Linked DNA regions of Rhinolophus ferrumequinum. The protein of the gene in region 1 purifies or fractionates together with the protein of each later gene. This does not show direct contact. Links are inferred from orthologs where the notes say so. Each region holds a gene or a part of one and is shown on either strand. Other genes may lie near its edges.

The links.
Region 2: the proteins of GNL2 (region 1) and USP36 purify together in Homo sapiens (affinity purification with mass spectrometry; 3 studies listed by BioGRID and IntAct, with this or other methods). This does not show direct contact. The link is inferred for Rhinolophus ferrumequinum from reciprocal best matches to the Homo sapiens genes GNL2 and USP36.
Region 3: the proteins of GNL2 (region 1) and SRPK2 purify together in Homo sapiens (affinity purification with mass spectrometry; 3 studies listed by BioGRID and IntAct, with this or other methods). This does not show direct contact. The link is inferred for Rhinolophus ferrumequinum from reciprocal best matches to the Homo sapiens genes GNL2 and SRPK2.

The regions. Positions count from the first base shown.
Region 1 is NC_046292.1:26,254,560-26,262,171, reverse strand, and holds the start of GNL2 (nucleolar GTP-binding protein 2), read left to right. Parts: upstream 1-4,597; 5' UTR 4,598-4,716; coding exon 4,717-4,780; intron 4,781-6,442; coding exon 6,443-6,527; intron 6,528-7,489; coding exon 7,490-7,584; intron 7,585-7,612. UniProt on the Homo sapiens protein: GTPase that associates with pre-60S ribosomal subunits in the nucleolus and is required for their nuclear export and maturation.
Region 2 is NC_046304.1:52,635,954-52,643,011, reverse strand, and holds the start of USP36 (ubiquitin carboxyl-terminal hydrolase 36), read left to right. Parts: upstream 1-4,058; 5' UTR 4,059-4,180; intron 4,181-6,372; 5' UTR 6,373-6,537; intron 6,538-7,058. UniProt on the Homo sapiens protein: Deubiquitinase essential for the regulation of nucleolar structure and function. Required for cell and organism viability.
Region 3 is NC_046303.1:48,818,227-48,825,518, forward strand, and holds the start of SRPK2 (SRSF protein kinase 2), read right to left. Parts: upstream 3,001-7,292; 5' UTR 2,998-3,000; coding exon 2,871-2,997; intron 2,538-2,870; exon of another isoform or gene 2,421-2,537; coding exon of another isoform or gene 2,405-2,420; intron 2,315-2,404; coding exon 2,260-2,314; intron 1-2,259. UniProt on the Homo sapiens protein: Serine/arginine-rich protein-specific kinase which specifically phosphorylates its substrates at serine residues located in regions rich in arginine/serine dipeptides, known as RS domains and is involved in the phosphorylation of SR splicing factors and the regulation of splicing.

The sequences.
Region 1 (7,612 bases):
CCAAGGGACCTGGTTAACATTTTTAAAAAGTGTTTTCTTAAGGAAAAGGGGGAGGTGGGGCAGGAGATGAGGGGGTAAAGAATTACACAAAGATTTAGTCTAACGGCTTAAAAATCAAAAGGATCGTTGGACAGATAGATATCAAGTGTAATAGGAAACACACTGATCCTGGGGAGATGATTTAATATGGGCCCTCCAGCCTCCTTGGAGCTTAAACAATTATCTACAATTTGGAATTATACTTTAAATTCCCACATTGGTGTGTATTCTGGATCTATTTCTCAGGACGCAGCCAGCAATCTTGAGTTATCTAAACCAGGCTGAAAATTAGAGGCCATTAATAGCATCTCATAAAAAACGGCTTCTCAGGTTTTTTTAAGGGGAATATGCTGAGGACCACAGGGATTCAATGATAGGAAGAAGCAAAATGCTGTTAGTTATTTTTCCAAAGCTTAATCTAGGGATCTTTTTGAAGAGCTCCTTACCCAGCCATGAGATGAACGCCAAAACCAATACAGACGATGTTTTTCCCATTTAGAAATGGTGACCAGAAACATCATCCATGAAGAGATGTTCCCTGGAGTTCCCAGAGGTAAGGATCTTAAGCTACTTTTCATAACCATCCGGACCACTAGTTTGCCGTATCCTGGTCCCCAAAATCCCTAGGCATCCTAGACTGAAAACTGAGGGCAATGGGGCCCACAAAAACTCCACTTTAATACACCTAATTTTTCTTCTATTCCCTTGTAAACTGTTGGTGTTGTATGAGCAAGAACTCTATTTATTTTCTACAAACGAAACACAACAACAAAACCCTGAAAACATATTGCAAGTGCTTCCCTGTCCTTCCAGGCTCCCAGAACCTCTGCTTGCAGGCTAGTAACTGTTTCCCATTGAGCAGCAGCCACTGAAGGGGCCTAACTCTTGGCCCCAGCAGGCAGGGGTCAATTCATCATGGACTTGCCAGAGGAGAGACACAGGAGACTGAAAAGAGAAGCCTCTGCTCTCAGTTCAATTGGGAAGGATAAACCAACAAGCTGGCACTAATTAAGAGCTAATGGCCTTACAATGGAGCATTGCCAAAGGATAACGACCCTCCAGCTGCAGCATAAATATCAAGGCATTTGGGGCAGAGCCAAGACATATATTTCCAGAGTGCATTAGACACTGCAGCAGCCTTCCTCACCGTGGTTCTGCTGAGAAAAATGAGAGGATTTAAGATAGGTGGGGAAGGAGCTGGGTCTTACTAGGACCACCATCTGGTAAGCCGGTCAGAAAGCCTCAGGGTGACTTTGGGAAAATACTTTGCTTTTCAGATCTCAAAGTTTTGTGTATACAAGAATCACAAGACAAGCTCGTACAAATGTGTATTCTCCGGGCCCCACCTTCAGAGGGTCTCATTTCATTACCTCTGGGGTGAAGCCCTGGAGTCTGCATTTTTAACCTGTTCCCCCAAGGGATTCTGATGAAGGTGGTCCTCAGATCATACTTTGAAAAACGCGACTGTAGAAGTTGCTGCTCCTTGCACATTAGACCCTAATGAAAAAGTTTTTACGGAATGAAGAAGAAAGTAAGGTTAGATTCTCTGCTTCCTATGGAAACACCAGCCCGTTCTTTCCTATTAGAACTTGGCAGGAGGCTGTTGCAGGAGGATAGAGAAGAGTAGCATTTTCAGCCAGTTCCTGTTGGGGTCTTCCCATTCACACCGACCTGTGGTTCCTGCAAACAAGAGTTCAGGGAATGAGGTGCTAACCATGGATCTGGAGGAAAGGAGAAAGCAGCCCATCTCCATGGTGTGTAGCATGTCTGCTATACTTTCATACACTGGAACTGTTATGAGCACGCTGCAATCTTTCAGAGTAGTTAATATGTCTGTTTTAAAGCTGAGGAATTATAGGCCTGGAGGTGTATCTTGCCTCCTCTGGTTACCACGACATCAGAAAGGAGAGTTAAAAATAGTCATTGTATTATAATTGTGGCAAGCAGGGCACGCAAACCAAACCAATAACTTAAGCTTGACCCACCTTGATCAGGCTTATTTTCAGCTGGTAGAACTGAGGTTGGTTGTCAGGATCAGAAAATAGTGTTGTAAAAGAATTGATGGATCAGGTTATAAAAATAGATGGAAAGTTTGTATGATAAACGCAAGCTGAGTATGAGAACAGGAGAGAAACAACCCACCATATCATCTGGGAAAATGAAACTCCTTGGCAAGACTTCACAACAGCCTGATTCAAAATTTCATAATGAAATTATGTCTCTGATCAAAGCCTGAATGAGCTCATGGGCTGATTTTTGCCATTCGTGTTTATTCTGGTTTGAACCAAATTGAGGCATCAGAAACACATTATCCTAGTCTTCTCTCTGGGAGTGGGCTATTGCACCCTCATTTGGGGGACCAAAGGGACAGTGTGAGGCAGAACGAGACATCTTTTGATCCTCATTCAGCATGAAGTTATTTCTCATCATAGATCATCTCTCAGAGACTCCCTCAGACACCATGTCAGGCTCAGGGACTTTCTAGCAAAGTTGTGTTTAATCTCAGGATACTTGCCCTGGGGGCAATAAAAGTGAGTCTCAAGGGACAGAAGGTATTTCCTACTCTTGTCTAGGACATGGCCTGCTTTTGCTCTAGAAAGAATGTTCTGGGGCTTGTTTGTTTTAGACTCAGAAATAAAGAATCATCCCTCTCACAATTAGAGTACCTCACTTTATACCAAGTTGTTTGTTTTTACGAGACGAGCTTCACCACAGGGTGGAATCCACCTTCCTCGGGCCTAACCACCTCTTCTCTGATCCTGAAGGCACAGCGACAGGCACTTCCTGACAACTCGAGGTGCTAAAAAAAAAAAGAAAGAAAGAGAGAGAAAGCTTCTTGGTTGAAACACTGGCATCTAGAAACTGTATTTTGACTAGTAGAAACAGAAACTCTTGGGTCTTACCACTGTCATTTCCCCTCAGGGCAAGAGGCATTCCCATCTGCTACTGACTAAATGTTTGTGTCCCCTTAAAGTTCTTAGGTTAGAACCTCTAATCCCCAATGCAACAATACTTGGAAGTGGGGCCTTTGGGAGGTAATTAGGTTTAGATGAAGTCATGAGGGTGGAGCCCCCATGATGGGATTAGTGCCCTTATAAGAAGACGAGAGCAGTCCCTATCTCCCCAACATGTGAGGACAGTGAGAAGACAGCTATCTGCGAGCCAGGAAGAGAATTCTCACCAGGAACCCAACCAGGCTGGTACCCTGATCTTCCCAGCCTCCAGAATTGTAAAAAATAAATGTCTTGTTTAAGCCATGCAGTCTACAGTATTTTGTTACAGCAGGCAGAGCTAAGACACCATCTATTCACTCCTTCCTTCAGTGAATAGTTACTGAATCCTTACTAAGTTTCAAGTGCTGTTCTAAATCATGGAGATACAGCAGTGGACAAACTTACAAGGTCCCTGCTCTCAGGAAGCTTACATTCTATTTTTGGGGAAGCAGCCGATAAACTTGTAAATAACATAATTTCATATAGTGATAAATGCCATGAAGTAAATAAAATAGAATAATGTGACGGAATGACTGCAGAAGGGTGAGAGATGGCTGATTTAGACAGTGTTGAAAAACAAAACTCAACCAAGTAAATTTGAAGATCTAATCGGCTTTATTAAGTGATTCACAGAATCGGGCAGCATCCCATATCAAGTTTTGGTTTGGTGACATGGCTTAGCCACTATGCCTCCATTTTGGCCTGCTGTTTCTTTTTTTTAACAACAGGAAAGACTTCTCCCAATAGGAAGGGTTGCCAGATAAAATACAGTATGCCCAGGTAAATTTGAATTTCAGACAAACAATGAATTTTTTAAAATATAAGTATGTCCAAAACATTGCATGGGACATACTTATACTAAAAAATTATTCATTGTTTATCTGAAATTCAAATTTAACTAGTCGTATTTTTATTGGCTAAATCTTAGGACCCTACCCAACAGGTCACATTTCGGCTGAGAACTGAATGACCAGGGGAAACTAGCCATGCAAAGATTCAGGGAAAGAATGATTCAGGTAACGGGAACATTCACTGTAAATGTCAGAATAACCAGAGGGAAGGAGGTACAAATGAGGTCAGATAAATAGGCAGGGGCCAGATCATGCAGAATTCTATAGGAATGACCAGGAGTTGGAGTTTCAATGTCTCTGTCTGTCTCTGTCTCAAGCTCTAAGAGTGATGATAAGCCATTGGAGTTTTAATGAGCGCGTGACAAAATCTGATTGATATCTGGCTGCTGTGTGGTCAGTCGTTTTTGGAAGGGCTTAGAGGACAAATTCAGATAATTAAACTTAAGTTTGTGCCATGGTCCAGGGAAGAGGCTTCTGTGTTTGGGGGGTGGGCCCAACTAGGGGCTCTGGGCCCTTGGTCCTAGGTATCTAGGCGGTTGCTATGGAGGGGCAGCTTGACGGTTGCTAGGGAGAGAGAGAGGGGCGGGGGCTGGGCGCAGGGCGCTGTGGGAGCGGCCCGCACGGGGGCGGAGCCCGGAATGCGGCCGCGCGCTCAGCGAGTTCGCAGGAAGTCGCCCTGGGGAAGCAAGGGGCGCGAGCGGAAGTGATGTAGCCCTTGCACACGTGGTCTTGCGTGGTTCATGCGGGTCACTTCGGCGGCTCTTGGAAAGTGACGAACTCGTTTACCAGCCGTAGGCCGGATCTAGCACTCCGGTCCTCGTCCCGTCGGCAAGATGGTGAAGCCCAAGTACAAAGGACGGAGCACCATCAATCCATCTAAGGCCAGCACAAACCCCGGTACAAGCGGCGGAGCTCGCGGAGGGTGGAGCTTGGAGGAAGCTTGGGGGGAGGGCTTCGAGGAGACGGGGGGGAGGGGGGGAAACACGGGTGGCATTGCTTGGAGTGACTTCGAGCTGTGTGGCTATTGGGGATGAGGACGGAGAAGGTGGTTTCTTCTTTCGGAGGCACTGAGGAGGGCTGACATCTTGCACGCCTGTCACGACTAGGTGTCAGGCACCGGGTCTAAAGCTGGGGAAAGTGAACATTCAGGCCTGGCAGCCGTGGGGCGACTCCAGTTGTGAGATGCAGAGACTGGGAGGCTCTGAGCTGGAAGCGGCCGTTAAACTTGACCTCTTCTTGCGTCTTAGCGTGGGTCAGGTGTTGAAGCTCCTCCCCCAGTGTATTTCAGTCTTGTATGATTCCAGCTTTCCAACTCAAGGAATTGCCAGAAGTAAATTAGATAAAGTCAGATGCAAAGTGATGTAAGGCCAATCCATGTGGCCTTTTATACTTGACCACATTTGCCTGTCACCTTAGCTTTGACCATTTAAATGAGAAAGGGATTGTAGATTTGGCTCTTGGAGTCATCCTGTCTAGCAAAGTGCAGAGAAAATCCTACAGATAAATAAAGATGTTTTTGGAGATGTCTATGAGTTGTCTAGGTTCTACCTAAAGGATGAACAAGACAGCCTTTGGAGGAGTCTGTTCCATTCAGGTTTAGTTGATAAAACTGTTTTTAAATATGCTTTAAAGTTTTTGATGACTTGAATTCATGTTGAATGTTTTCTCTGGATTGCTGATACTCAGTTTGTGTAGACTTAGAATGTTAGGAACCCCCCCCCCCAAAGGACCTTAGAGATCATGAGGTTATAAGTGAAGATACAGCCAAAATAGGGGAAGTGGCTTGTCACAGTTGGTACAGTTAATAAGCAGTAGGGCTGCCACTCCTGTGATGTTAGCCTGTTTACAACTGCATGACTTCAAGAGTAGACAGGTGATTTGAAGGGAGTTACAGCATAAATCACCCTCTGCTTATTTGTTCTCTTTCTCTTTCAACTATAAGGCAAGAATTGCTAGCTATTGGTTAAACTAAAATCAAACATTAGGAAGTTAAGAAACTACTACATTAGGAACCTTGTGTCAGAATTGTAGTTCCCACGGTGCCTTGCATGTAGCAGACACTGGTATTTGTTAAATTGAGACCCAGAGGTAGGTGTCTTAGTGGTTAAGAGCACAGATAGTGGTCAGATGCTTTTGTTTAAATTGTGGCTCTGCCATTTAGGAGCGGTGTGATATTGGGCAAGGGTCTAACCACTGTGCCTCAGCTTCTTAGCCTACAGAATGGGGGTAATGTGTCCCTCTTTATAGGATTATTGTATGGATTACATGAGACAATGCCTGTGATGTGGACAGCACAGGGCCATAATTAATGCCCCAAAATATTGGCTGTTGTCACTGTCAAACACAATCCTACCGAGGCTCAAAGATTAGGTCAGGTGTGTCATGCCATGTAGCTTCCAGTAATTATAATGTGGGCACAACATACGGAAAAAGTCGAGATTTTTCAGTGAGGCGGCAGCCTGCCTACTCTGAATGAACTAGTTGGTGCGTTGGAAGCAGTGATCAAACTTAGACTTATTGGTTATCAAATAGTATGCGGTCTACTTGTGTGTTTCCTAGATCGAGTACAGGGAGCTGGAGGCCAAAACATGAGGGACCGGGCCACAATCAGGCGCCTGAATATGTACAGGCAGAAGGAGCGCAGGTGAGCATTGAGCAGTCACCCTTTCCCCCCCCTCTATGCCCTTGACTTGTAGCTGGGACCCATTGAGTTTTTGATAGTCCCACCCCCGCTATATCCCCAAGGCCGGGTAGTGTGATTTCAACTATCATTTTCTATGGGTGTTGTTATGATAAATTGTGAATTTTTTGGTTACAGACATGGGTAGTGTGGGTGGTGAAATCATGATTGTGTCACAACAGCTAGAGGTCTTGTTCCTCACAGTTTCGGCCCCCACAAGTGTAAATCTCAAGTTGAATATCTGTCAGATAGAAATCTGGTTTTCTTTAACAAGGCATATAGGACTGCCTTGAAAGCAGCCAGAGGACTTGTTTCTAATGCCAAACTTTAGATCACAACGTTGTGGCACTTAGAAACTCATCCCAACGCTGAGTTCTGCTGAGGCAGCCTCTGCTACAGAGACTCGCGGAGTGTGGCGTTTCGCTAGCTGGTCTTAATTTGTTTGGTAATTAGAGATTCTTCATCCGTTCTAAAAGATGTGTCTAAAACACCAACGTCAATGAACTTAATCTGCCTTAGTCACCTACTCTGCAGTTTGTTTTAGAATTTTGAGTTACAGCATAAATCACCCTCTACTTAAAATTCATTTAAACCAGCCTTCAAGTAATTACCCAAAAAACTCAACTATGTGATTTTTTTTTTTAAAGCAAAAAACAGTAAACAGATTTTTAAACCTTGGCATTATTTGTTATTCATCTAGCAGAAATCATTATGTGCTCTGTTGCAAGAGGTTAAATGGCTTTTGGGCAATCTGTTTCAAATGTAGTACTTTTTGTTTACTGAAATCTGTATTTCATGATCATTTACAACCAAAAAAAAAAAAGAAAAGAAAATGTCCTTTTGATGGAAAGGGTATTCTGTAAACCAAACTTTGCTGTTGCCTTTCTTCTGTTGTCAACCAAAATCTGTTAATTTCCTCAATTTAGGAATAATCGTGGTAAAGTGATTAAGCCTTTGCAATATCAATCAACGGTGGCTTCTGGCACAGTGGCAAGAGTGGAGCCAAATATTAAATGGTTTGGTGAGTATTGTCCTCTCTTATTTTTGCT
Region 2 (7,058 bases), on another chromosome or scaffold:
GCCCGTGAGCCATTCTTACCGGGGAACGGGGGTAGCCTCCCGAAATCCAACCTGGTAAGTAAGCTTCCTGAGGAGAGCAGCCTCAGGCCTGCTGTGGTCACTCTTTTTGGCATACAAGTCCTGTCCATTTCCTTTTGTGATCTGTCCCCCAGCTCAGGACACTCTCATGGGCAGCCGCTGAGGAAATCGTTCCAATACATCTAGTAATTCCAGTCATGGCTAATGTTTACTTCATGCCAGGACTTGTGCTAGGTAGGGTTTTGCAGATGTTCTCTCAATGAATGCTTGCCAACTCCGAGAAATCAGTCCTCTCATCTTCCCCACTTGATAGATGAGGAAACTGAGGCGTGGGCGGTGGAGTTACCTGGTCACCTGGCCAGTAAGCCCTGGAGCTGGGATTTGAACCCAGGCAGAGGCGGACTCCCAGGCCCAGCTCTTCAGTAGCGCAGGCTCCTGTGATCCTTCCTCGGCACCTCGAGAGCCCCTTACAGAGGTGGCTCAGGGGGAAGCAGCTTACCCTGTAAGGGTCAGACCATCTTCCACCCAGCAGCGGTGGGGATGTTTTCCTTAGACTTGTACACAGATGAGTAGGCCGTAGTGCTTACTCTTAAGAGTCATGGTCAGAGAGGGAGGAGAAGTCCAGAGCATTCCAATTGAAGGTATAAATGGAATGTGCAGGCCAGCCCAAGACAGTACCAACCTAATGGCAGGAATGCAGGGGTGGGGGCGGTGGGGGCAATCCAGGAAGACTTCTTGGAGGAGGTGATGCCAGACGTGGTGGTTGATGGGCAAGTGGGAAAGGGTATTTTAGGCCAAAGACTAGCTGGAGCCTGGAGCAGAGCCGGCCTGATTGGAGTCTGGGGGGGCATTCGGATCTACTCTGCTGAAGGACCCAGGGCAGGAAGTGGCTGGGTATGAGGGGAGAGGGGCAGGCAGGAGCCAGCCTGCAGGGGCCATGAGAGATTACGTTGAGGAGCTTGGCTTTCCCCATCAGCTTCAGGGGACGAGAGGGTTTCAGACACGAGCACGATACGTTCAGTTAGGCCTTTTAAAATACTGTATTTGGCAGTTTGAGCAATGGCTTTGGCTATTTTAATAATGCAGAAGATGGAGTGGGGCATTACTTGGGCAATTGGATGAAGCAGAGGGAATGGTTTGAGGGAAATTGAAGAGGGAAAATTAGCAAAATCTGTTGACTGATCACTTACATGGGGGGAGAGAAAGAGGAGCCCAAAATGCTGGCCCGGCAGGGTTTCTGTCTGGATCAGCCCAGGTCCAACCGGGAACACCCAAACCATTCCATACAGCCTGTAAAGCCGGGCGGGGGGGTGTATGTATGCAGGGTTGGTTACATCCTGATGGAAGTGACAAGGAGAAAATTCTGAGAGGTTGTCAATAAATTATAGATGCCCGGGAGTGAGAGAGAGAGAACTGTTGGTCTGTCAATGGCTGCGGGCCAGCCATCAAAAGACTGCTCCCAGGCCTTCTGTGTCTGTTGAAAGTTCAGATTAATTTCCGGGAGGGTATTTCCGCAGATTCTCCCAGCCAGGCACCAGTGAATTCCAGGAGCCTCGGCTGCAGGAGCAGACCTTTCTTTCTTCGGACTCCTCTCTCAGAGCTGGCCCGTGTCACCTTCTCCCACCCCTTTGCCTGCAGCTCATGCAAATTCCTTCAGACAGCCTACGTCTTTCTTCCCACTTCCCCCTACTTGATGTATAAAAATGCTTGCCAACTCCAAGTCGGTGGACATGTATGTCTTTGCTGCTGGTGGTTTGGACTTCACGCCCCAAGACCAGTCTTCTTCTTGGTGAGCATTTTTGGCTCAATGAAACCTTTCTTTAAAAAAGTCTTTTATGTGGAGAGGCTGGGGCCATAGAGTGCCTCTCTGGTGGGAGCTGGAGCCACTGCCAGAAACTCCATTCAAAACGGAGAGGAAGGGAGAAAATGGCCCTGCTTATCCTGTCCTCTGCCCTCCAGTGGTACCAGTGCCCCCAGTGGCCAGAGCCCCGCTGGAAACCAGTTCACAAGGGAACCTGGAAAGAGCTGAAAAGGGCAGGATTCGGTCAGAGCCCCAGCACAGCAGCCCAAGTGGGCAATGGGGCAGAAATGGAGAGGCAGCTTAGGGGAGGGTGGGGATGCATCATTTCTGGGCAGGTGACTCAGGTGCTGTGGGGCCTCCGGGGGGGAGAGGTCCAGGAGGCACTTACTGGACCCATGATTCCAAAGGTCGGGGAGGAGGTCTGCACCCATGCATTTGGAATTTGCCAGCCTGTAGTGGTGACCAATGGATGTGTTCGCAGGGTAAGTGTTTGTGTTACTTAAAAAAAAATATTCAAGTAAGTTTCCAAACCAGTTGCATCATCTTACACTCCCCACCGGCTTACAAAGGGTCTGTATGCTCCACATTCTCTGCAACATCTAGTCTTTATTTTAGATGCTCTAGAGGGGGTGAAGTGTACCTCACGGAGGTTTTAATTTGCATTTCTCAGGTGCCCTCTGAGATTGAGTGCCTCAGGAAGGACTTCTATGTGGACCCATGTGAACATACTCCAGAGATTCCACTCTGAAGGCGTCTCCAAGGGAATCTGAAGGGGAAGCAGGGCAGGGGTGTGGGTGGCCCAGGGCGCCTCCCAAATCAAGATCTCCGTTCACATTCTCAAGCAGCATGCAGGCCTCTCAGGCAATTCCTTTGTCATCTCTGAGGAATGTGCAGGGTGTCCCGTGAGAGCCCCAGTTAAAGGTTTGAACTTGGGGCCTGACAAAAACCTGAGTCTAAACCCTCAGGTCACCCCTTGCTTGCTGGGATCTTGCACACTCGAGTTTTCTCATCTGTAAAATGGGTACAATCATCTTTTTTGTAGGGTGGCCACGAGGATTCAATCGGATAACGTTGCTCAAGTGGCACAGAGGAGCTCTGCACTCGAAGCAGACGTCGCTGGTTTTGATGTTCGAACGAAAGAGATGCGGGAGGTCGTCTTTGATGAGGAAACTGAGGCCCAGGTTAGTTACAAGATGTGCCCCCCAAAACCTGCTAATTAGGACAGAGTTGGAATAAAACCCAAGTCTCCCCGGTTCCCCTGCCAGTTTCCCCTCCCAACCTGCCTCCGCATTTAACCACTAAGCACACGTGTCAGGCCTGGAATGGCGACACCTGTCTTCGTTTGGATCATTGTCTGAGGGCCCAGGGTGGACGCACATGGGGACAAATCTCCATCTGAAGTTCAGTTGAGGATTCTCACAGATCAGGATTGGGCTCCTATGACTTTGTTTCTGCTCATTCGCTTTTTCAGAAAAACCCCAGCCCCACGTAATAACCACAAGGTACGTGTTGTCCCAGTTACACCCATCCTCTCTCTCCATCCTCACTTCCCACTGGACGGCCTGGGGGAGAGGGGACATGACGACACAGCATCAGATAGGGAAGCTTTGGCCTTTTGGGGCGTCATTTATTCCCCCCCTTTGCTCCGGTGAGACACCACCAGAGGTCAGGCTAGGAACCGCTCTCTCCACCTGCCCTGAGCCAACGAAGCTGCTTGGGGGGAAAGGTGCTTTTTTCAATATCGCAGAAGCAATGCGTCTTTACACACACTCAACCACGGCCTTGACGTGGTTTTGGAGGCGGTGAGGTCAGGGAATTCCGCAGAGCCCGCGGACACTTCTCGCCCGCCCAGCTTTACTGATCGGCTGCCCTGATGGCCTCGGGCCTGTGTCTTGGTCACAAAAGGCCCTAGAGAGTGAGACATAGCCCGTCAGGTGAGCATGAGGCGCGGCTGTCAGGCCGCAGGTGCGCTCGCCGCCCGCGCCCCGCGCGCGGAGCCCGGAAGCAGGCGCCTCACGTGCTCTGCGGGAACTCTCGGGTCTCTCGCCAAGGGGGCGGGCCGTCTCCGGCTCTGCGTGTTTGCGTCATTGCGTAAGCTGGCGGAGCCGCGGGATGGAAGGTGACGTTTCCGGCGCGTAAAGAGGCTGTGGGCGGGCTCAGGGAGTGGGGCCGAAGCCAACCCCGCCTCTTAAAGCTGCAGGGGCATTTCTGTGTCCCGCAGCGCGGGCCGCGGGCGGCGGCGTCTTTAAGTGTCGCCGTGACACGTGTGTGAGGCGCCGAGGGCCCGGATGGTGAGTGTACTGGGCCCGGGCCGAGCAGACGACAGCGCCGCGGGGCTGCAGCGTGCCGGGTGAGGGTCAGGTAGGCAGGGGTCGGGTCTGGGCTGCGCGCGGGTCGGGGGAAGGCTGCGCGTCTGGCCAAGGCGAGGGCTCCTGCCAGGCCTGGGGCGCGGGAAGGTGCGGCCCGACGCGGGCGCACCTGAGGGCGCTCCGGTGAAACGTGAGTGCGTGTCCCTGAGGGCTCCGCGGTCCGCGGGGAGGGCCAGGAGCCGTGCGGTCCATGGGGGATGTGGGGGTCCGCGGGGAGGGCCCGAGGCTGCGCGGTCCGCTAGAGGTTTGGGGGTCCACGGGGAGGCCCGGGGGGCGTGCGCTGCGGGCTGTCCTAGGTGCGCTCTGCCGACCCCGGTGAACACCGACCGGAGGTGGAGGGTCCGGGGAGCTGCCCCCCAGGAGCCTGGGCGGGGGAGGAGGCAGGGGCCTGTGTCCGTGGCGGGCGCAGTCGTTACGCACAGAAGCATCCTTCACGCGGGATCCAGACTTTCTCCGAGATGGCTTAAGTCAAAATCGGGGAGAGAGCGTTCTGTTTGGCGGCAGAGCGGAGATCTTCTCAGTTTCCTTTAGTAAGCTGTGTGGGAAAGGCTCGCCCCCGGGGCTGTAACCTTCCTCACGGTCATGGTGGTCGTGGTGGCTGCGAGTGGGTGGGTACAAGCTGTGGGGTTTGTAAACACCCGTTGCTTTTCTCCGGTGCTGTTGGGTCTGTCCTGGGTCGTAGGAGCTACAGTGGCCTCCTGAACAGCCTTTCTCTGTAAGGGATGTTGAGAGTCAGGCCTCCAAGGAGGGGGTCAGTTTGCTCTCTCTTGGCTGGGGACTGGTTCTCTACTTGCTCTGCTGAAGAGCCTGGAGGTCCCCCCCTACCCCCCCCACCCCCGCCCCTGAAAGCGCCCCAGGGAGGCCCAGCTCTGTCCATCTGAGGCTCCCCCCCCCCCCACCAGCACGTGGTTGACCCTGTGAGTCTTCAGTGCGGCTCATCCTGGAAACAGGAGGGATAGAGAATGTGCTTGAATGGAAAGGTGTTTGTTTGGAGGACGTTATGTCTGGATAAGTGGAGCCATCCCTGGACCATAAGAAACCTGGAATTTCCAGAGAGCATCCTCCCCCAGTTTCCAAGAGTGTTACCAAGTGTGTATGTCAAAGGGCTTGCTGGTGATACAAGGAATGTTCTTGGGGTTCCTACACCTCAGAGAGAAATCATTTTTAGGTTATTGCTTAATATTTCAGGTGAAACTGATGACATAGAGGGTGATCTCTCTGTCAGAAGTGGAAAAATTATGCTGAAGATCTGACTCCAGGAGGAGTGGGCTGTGGGATGGGTGTTAACTTACTTATCTCGCGTTAACTTGGGTTAAATCTCCCGAGTTCTGTTTTTCCTCCGGCCACTCAGTTCCCACACGTGCCTGTGGGCCCACGTCCATCCAGGACCACGTCCTCACCTGCCCACAGTGACGTGAGTCTTACCTCCAACAGGGACACTGGAGGGAGGTTTTCTGTGTTTCTTCGTTTCTGGGTGTTGATAAGCTTTTATTTATGGATCTCAGACATGATATATCTGAAATTGGCCGTCAAGTCACATGGGGACAGGAGAGGAAGGAGGATTGGTCCTGCATACTAGTAATTATTGACCCTGAATAAGGGGAACGAGGCGGGTCACTGCTGTTCTCTCCACATTGTGGATGTTTGAACATTTTCACAGTAAAAAGTTTTAAAGTACCTTAATTTTATGTAATCATAGTGCTTATGGATAATAATTAAAGAAAAAAAATCCACGTTGAGCAGACTGAAAATTTGGCAACTCTCAGTGCTCCTTCGATTTTTTTCTTTTTCTTTTTTTGAAATTTTACAGATTCATGAAATCTGAAAGTTGGAGATCAATATCTGTTACCTCTTACTCTTTAAGGTGCAAATTAGGCTGGAGTTGACCGGCAAACGTGGGGAGATTTTCGTTCACTGGTTTTGTCACTGGCGTGAAGGTTTAGCTGTAGAGCAAATGGCCACGTTTTCGTGCCATGCCTGTTGCTCTAATCTGTAGCTACTAGTTGGCTCAGTTTTCCTCCCTGCTCTCCCTAGATCTGCCCCTGCAATATTCTTTCAGCCTTAATGCCCACCGTTCCATTCTGGTACGTGTTTGGCCTTCCTGCCCCGCGTCCAGGGCATGGGGCTGATGCGATCGTGGGAAGAGAGAGAGCAGCCTCACGGGATGCTCTGTGCATCCCACAGGTTCTGACGCCCACCCTGGGCAACACGCTGGCAGCTCTGGTGATTTCACAGGCCAGAGACGAGGAGCACGCGTAAATGTGAGGTCCCAGCCCCACGCTCGCCCAGTTGGACCAAGAACCTGACCTCATGCCGCAGCAGCAGTGCACCCAAGTTCAGATGTCTCAGGTAAGCCACGCAGGTGCCTGCGCATCTTTTCGTTCTTGCTGGTTACCTGTGTGTGACCCAGTAGCAGTGTTCAGTGGTGAGAACTCTTAGATCATCCCCCACGAAAGGTGCTTTTGTTTCCTCAAGTCAAAGAACTTGAGCTTGCTTTCATTAAAAAAAAAAAAAAGGGGGGGTTACGTTTTCTGTTCTTCACAGATATTTTTATAGACAAAGAAACTTGACACATATGGAATTAGATGCTTCATGATAAATCTGAATGGTTTAGTAAGAGGTGCTGGAGGTGGTCCTTTCACTAGAACAGAGGCTTGGGGGTACCTGACTGGTTGGTTTCCCTGTGACACGTGGGACACTGGCCCTGAGGGGGTCATCATTTTTCTGATGGGAGTGAGCAATTTAAGGAACTTATTTTTCTAACTGTGACTCAAATAGTCCTTGACCTTCGGCTGGGATGGTTGAGCCGAGAGGCAGTGGGTGGGGAAGAGAAGCGGCAGATGTAACTGTAGCCATGGGAGGCGATGGGG
Region 3 (7,292 bases), on another chromosome or scaffold:
TCCCTCTTCCACCAGCTCTTCTCTCCAGCGTGCCACTCTTTACACCCTAAACCAAGTCACCATGGTTTCCCAAGTACTATAATTGGCCAGCTCCCATTATGTACCTCTCCCGTCCTCCACAATCCATTCACAATCCATCTTCTTTGGAATTCTCCCCAAACCCCCATAGAATATAAGCTTCAGGAGTAGCTTTGTTCAGCTTGTTCAAAGCTCTATCACCGCCTCCTAGGAAAGGCATGCAAATACTTATTGAATACATGAATACATAAATCATATCAAGCATTCCTTTAAAATAATATCTTGATTCAAAGGATTAAGTTAAAAATGACATTGTCTTAATCAAACACTTATGTAATTGGACCAATCTGCTCTTGCTAATTAATTACCTTGCAGACTAACCAGTTAATTTAGTCACTGGCGGGGGGGAGGGGAGATTTCCCTCAAAGCTTATCAAATACATACAACAGACAATAGAAGAAACTGACAGATTAATCTGTGAGTAACAGTTGAATACTTGGATACACACTAATTCTTTATAAACATACCACATAAATCCAAACTGCAGCACACCAAAAAAAGGCTCTTAGCCATTAGGAAAGTCATACCCTGAAATATGAAAATATGCTACACACATTGACTTAACTAAAACTGTTTTTCTGTATGTATGCATATATTTAACACACATATGTATATATACATACACATAAGTATACATATATACACACAGAGTCATTCCCCAAAATTGGGGGCAGGGTTTTTTCAATTCTTTTTTACGTTTCTGAACATAATGAGCAATGTGGAAATAAATGCTTTGAATTGAAAGTTGTGACTAAAACTCAAGATCCTAAACATTAGTTCGCCTTACCTACTGGCTCAACTTTAATCGTTCATCAAAGGAAATCCCAGATTGAAGATTGACTTGAAAGCTAGCATTAATTGTTTTAAAGCATCTAAAACTACCAAATTACCCATCAGTTCCTTAAGTTCTTAATTTAAGTATTTTTCCCACACTCTGTAAGTTTTTTGAGGCATTAGGTGGATATCCATATTTTGTGAAATCCTGAACATAGTTTCAAATTATATTCCATTTAAAAGGAACAAAACTCCTGTCATAATAATATCATGATATACATTAGCAATAACTTAGGCAGTTTGCATAGATACCAACGGGTACGAAATTTGCTAAGCGGAGACCAAGGCGACCAGGAAAGAAGAAAGTCTAGGAATGCTGCAGGCAGCCCCCCCGAAAGGAAACAAAAAGGAAATACTTGGTGATTTTATTAAAAGATCATGGACTGTCATTCCTCATAGTACCAAAAATACCTTCCTTGCTCAAAAAGAAGAGCAAAGCCACAAATCTAGACAGAGTAAAGATGTTGAACGCTGGCAGATGTTTTTTTTTTAATTAAGAGAAAAAGGAAAAAGAGGCGGCGGCGCTCTGCAGTCTCGGAGCAGCTCTCCAGGAAAGGCTTCTCGGGAGCCGGCCGCTCCCACTACGGTCCGCAGCCAGGCTGGAGGTGGCCGGCGACTGGCACGTTTTAAATATCACCACCCTATTCATCAACTCGCGGCACAATGAGAGGCCGGGAAGCCGCGCCGGGGACCGCCCGCGCACACGCCCACCGGTCCAGCGCAGCAGTCACGTTCGGCCCAAGCACAAAGTTTCGAATACAAACCCAAGCGCCGAAATGCACAGGTCTCAGCGTTGAACTCGCGCCAGGAACACTCCCGGAGCGAACCTCTTGACAACTGGCTCGGGTTTTCAGCCGACAGGCAAGGGCCGGGGAGGACGAGGACGCGACACACACACTCACACACGCACTCTCTCGTACACTCGGCTCCTCCTCTCTCGAGCCCCGGTGCCCAGGTGGGAGCAGGTAGGCAGCCTCATGCCGCAGCCGGCGCCAGCGCCCCTCCGGGGAAAGGCCTGCGACCTCCGGGGACAGCTCGGCGCGCAGGCGACCGGGCGCACGCCCGGCACCTCCTCATCCAACCGCCCCGACGGCCGCGGCGACTTAGGTCCCAGGGACCGCCCGGGGATGCTCAACCCGCCGGCCGCGGGCTCGCGCGCGCCCCTCCCCCGCCCTCCGCCCCTCCCCCCGGGCCGCCCGCGGGGCGCGCAGGAGGCTAGCGCCCGCGTCCCTGGGAATCAGCCTGCCCGCTGGCCCTGGGGATCCGGGCAACTTCCCGGGCACCGTCGCGGGCTGCCCCCGACCGGCCGGGGGCGGGGATCCGGGTGCTAGCGCCGCGTGGACTCACTTTTTCGGATGTTTCTCTCTCTTCGGCCTCCGCTTTCGGGCCTGAATGGCCAGCACTGGGGAAAGAAGAGACATACATTAACGGTCAGGCAGGCCGGCCTGCGGGGCCGCGTGGCAGGGAAGAGGGGACGCCGTGGGCCACTCACCTTTCCGGGAGCTCATACCGACGCGGCGGAAGGAGGGCGGGGGGGCTCTGCGACGGCGGCCGCAGCGGTGGCGGCGGCGGCGACGCGGGAGCGGAGCCGGGCTGCAGCCTCCACTCGCTCCGCCAGCCGGGAGGAGGCGGGAACCGCGCCTGCGCCGCCGCTGCTGCTGCCGCCGCCGCTCCCGCGGGGGACCCAGCAAGACCCGCCCCCGGCCAGACCCGCCCCGCCCCCCCACCCGGTGGGGTCCTGACCCCCGCGCCCGGTTCCTTCCGCGCGCCCCGCACCCCCACGCCCGCCCCGCGGGTGCGGAAACGACCCCCCACGACCTCCGCCGCGCCGGCCCTCGCCTCCCCGCCCCCTCCCGCGGCCGGGGCCTCCGCCTCTCGCGCCCCCGCGGCTGGCCCGGGCCTCCCGCCTCTCACCCGCACCCGGCCGCGCGACCCTCGTTCTCCAGCCACAGCCTCACCCCGGCCAGTGGCGCGGCCCGCCTGTCCATGTGCCCTTCCTTGGCCCGCGCCTCCGCGGGTCTCACACCACCGCTCTTCGCGCGGCCTCTTCTCCCCCTTGGCTCCTCTACATCCTTGCATCCCCATGAGCGCCGCTTTCTCCCCTCGGGCGAGTGTGGAAAGGTCACAGGACCAAGAGCTGGGCAACCTGGGTCCTTCACTAGCTGTGTGACCTTGGAGAAGTCATCTTATCTCTCGCCTTTACTTACCCCACAGGATTGCTTGACTTTAATGAAGGAAAAGTTGCAAATAGCATGGAAAGTAGGTTGGCGCTTTTTACACGTTAATTCAAGCCGCGCTCAATAAATACCATGTGTACGACTGTGTAACACAACAACCCCACCAAGTAATTATTTTTTCCTTTTTACAGTGAGGAAACTGAGTCCTAAAGAGGTCAAACAGTTTACTTAGCAATGATTCAAATTTAGGCCTGGCTGATCCAAACTTTCTGCGTATCATGCATGCTTCCTAATAAAGATGTGAATTAAGTTGATGGTGGGACAAAATGATAACTGCAATGTTTTCTTTTTTATTTAAGTAATTATAATACTTTGAAAGATAACCCGGATCATTTACTCTCTCTTTGGTTACACAACGGTATTCTTAACTGACCAAAGTAGCTAGCCTTTATTCTAAAGACGCTAAACCCAAAGAACAAAAAGTTCTGCTTGGACTTCAAGAGCTTTTTACTTTCTCAACTTTTTTTCAAAAATATTAAACCTACAGAAAAGTTACGAGTAAAGTATAATGAGCATCCATGTTAACCCCTATTCACCAATTTTTAAGGTTTCACCACATTTGCTTTACCTATGTATATGTGTGTGGTGTGTATGGGGCTTTTGTTTGGTTATTTTGTTTTTACTGAATCATTTGAGTTTTTCACAGACATCGTTATCCTTTACCCCTGAATATTTCAATAAATATCTACTAAGAACAAAGATATTCTCCTACATAATCAGAATTCCATTATTACTCCAAGAAAATTTAATATTAATACTATTATCTGTAATATACCGAAGCCATATTCAAATTCTCAAAATGTCTGTTATAGCTCACTTTTTTCCCCCCAATCCAGGATACAATCAAGGATCAAGCATTGCGCTTAGTTTGTTATGTATTTTTAAACTCCTTTAGTCTAGAGTAATCCCTGGTTTTGTTTTGTTTTTTCTGTTATAACATTGACTCTTTGGAAGAATCCAATTCCACTGTTTTGCAGAATGCTCCTCAGTTTGTTCTCTATTAGAGTCAAGTTAAATAATTGTATCAGGCACTCTATCTAGATGATATTGTATCCGTCTTAGCACATTGCCACTACAGAAAGGATATCACGTCAGTTTGTTCCATTATTGATGATGTTACATTTAATCATTTCTCCATGGTGAAGGTACTTTTTTCTTTTGTATTTGAAAACTAGTCTGTGTGAAAAATGGGCAACAGATTCAAGAAACAGACATTTCTCCTAAGAAAATATACAAGTGGATGAAAACGTGCTCAACATCATTAGAGAAATGAAAAAGCAAAACCACATGAAATAGCACTTCACACCTAATAGGATGACTATAATTTTTTTTAATGGAAAATAAGTATTGGCAAGGATGTAGAGACATTGGAATCCTCATACATTACTGGTGAGAATGTAAAATGGTGCAATCACTGTGGGAAATAGTGCTACAGTTCTTCAAGAAGCTAACCAATGAATTATTAGCAATTCTATGGTTCTAGGTACTCAAACAAATCCTTGTACACAAATGGTCAGAGCAGCATGAATCACAGTAGCCAAAAGGTTAGAAACAACCCAAAAATATCCACCCATGTATGAATGGATAAACAAATTGTGGTAAAGACATACAATGAAATATTTTTCAGCCATAAAAAGGAATGCAGTGCTGATACAATGTGCTACAATATGGATGAACCTCAAAACCATGCCAAGTGAAAGAAACCAGGCACAAAAAGTCACATATTATGAGTCAATTTTATGAAACGTCCAGAATAAGCAAATCCACAGAAAGCAGTTTGGTGGTGGCAATGGCTGGGGGGAGGGAAATGAGGAGCCACTGCTTAATGGGTACAGGGTTTTGTTTTGTAGTGAGGAAAATGTTTTGGAGCTAGGTAGAGGTGGTGGTGGCCACCTCTATCTGTAAATGTACTAAATGCTGCTGAATTGTTCACTCTAAAATGGTCAGTTTCATGTTATGTGAATTTCACCTCAGTTGTTTTGTTTGTTTGTTTGTTTTGTTTTTTAAGTAATCTGTGGGATAATACTTTGAGACTGTGTGAGCCTTTCCCCTAGAATCTTTCACTCTTTGTGTTAGCATCCATTCATGATGCTTGCCTGAATCAATTATTACTATAGTGGTTGTAGAATGATATTACACTCCTATCATTTCATCTGTTCCATCTATGCTAATTAGGTGATATTTTTATGTGAGGAAAGCTTTCATTTCGTTCCCACCACCTCTGTTTTCTGTTTGTTTTTGGCTTTTTTGTTTTTGTTTTTAGTAGCAATATTGACAGTAATTACTATCACCTTAATTTTTGATTCTTGAATTATCTTATATTTGACCAGGGAAGACACTTTCCACTTGCAATCCTTTGCACATGTCCCAGTTTTTGAGTACCTGTTTACTTTCTAGCACATGATATTCCAGGAAACCTGTGCTTTCCCCAACCAGGAACCAGAACCAGCCATTTCTCCAGTTTTGGCTCCTTACAGAAGGTGATTAGAAGCTTTAAACCAGAGAAATCTGAGTTTAAAATCAGTTTTTTATTTTTAACAGCTTTATTGAGACATAATTCACATACCACACAATTCACCCATTTAAAGTTCAAACTTCAATGGTTCTCAGTATATGCACATGGTGTGCAACCACCACCAAAGTCTAATTTTAAAACATTCTGTCATTCCTAAGAGATACTCACTACATACCTATTAGGCTTCTTCTCCCAACCTCCCTTTGCCCAAGCCCTAGGCAACCACTGATCTCCTTTCTGTCTCTATAGACTCACCTATTCTGGACAAATCATATAAACACAATCATACAATATGTGGCATTTTGTGACTGTCTTCTTTCACTTAATGCTGAAACCAATTTCTGCTACTTAATTTCTGAATAACATTGGGCAAGTTACTTAATTACTGGAAAACAGTAATAATATTAATACCGACCATCCTAGATCAATATGATAATCAAAGAAGATAAGAAAATATTCAATAAATACGAATTATCATTAACAATGGTTGAGAAAGATTATCCAATCTGTTTGCTGGATCTCTTGTATTCATTTATTCAACAAATACATACCAAACACCTATTATATAGCAGGCATTATTCTAGATATTGAGTCTACAGCAGTGAACAAAAGCACACAAAAATCTCCTTGCCCTCATGGAGCTTACATTCTACTGCCAGAAGACAGAAAATAAACTAAATATGTAAAATAGATATAAACTATGCTTACTATAGTAAATGGCAGTAACATCTATGAAAAGGACAAAAAAACAAAACAGTAACCTGTTGGGAAAGTGTTTAGGAAAGTCCCTGAGAAGGTAACAAAGACCTAAAGTCTTTAAGGTCTAGTCTTTTTTACTTCTATAAATTAGGAGAGAGCTCTATTTGCCACTGAGAATATTTGTGAATTGCTTTGAATGTGTTAAATTAAAATAAACCAACCTAATTGTCAATAAGCACCTTAACATGTACTATATTAGATGCTTAAAGAAAGAATAACAAATTAAAGACCTAGTCTCTGCCAATGTATAAATTAAAGTTTTCTTTAAGATGCATCATAATTTAGAATGACATTTTAAAGGAAATACCAAAAAAGGAAAGGAAAAGAGTAATAGAGTATGGGTTTAATTTTTTTATTCTACCATCATTTATGGCTACATAAATAATTAATTATGTGAATATTATAAGTCAGAAGGGGAAGTATTAGAGCTCTGTAACAGTCCAAAAGAAGTGAAAAGGGCAGTACATATGCATTTCCCCCCAACCTAGTACAACAGAATTCAAGACAAAAGTATCATATTAATTTTTACCAAATACAAGAGAAAATTACAGAATGCTGTAAATCCAACCACTCTCTGATATTTCCAAGTACAGCTACTAAATCATGCTGTGTGTGTGTGTGTGCGCGCGCGCGCGCGCGCGCGCGCGCGCGCGTATGTGTGTGAATCTTAGGAGATATATTCAATATGCCATAGAATTGGAAACAGATTTGAGAGGTCATATAATCCATCTTGGGGCCTGTAGTGGGTGAGAACCTGGCCTCCTTCTAAAGGCTCTCCATCACTTAAATTTTTAGGAAAATTACTTTATATCTGATCTACACTTTTTATTATGAAGCTTAGGCCTGTCTCTTGTTATTTCATTACTGTG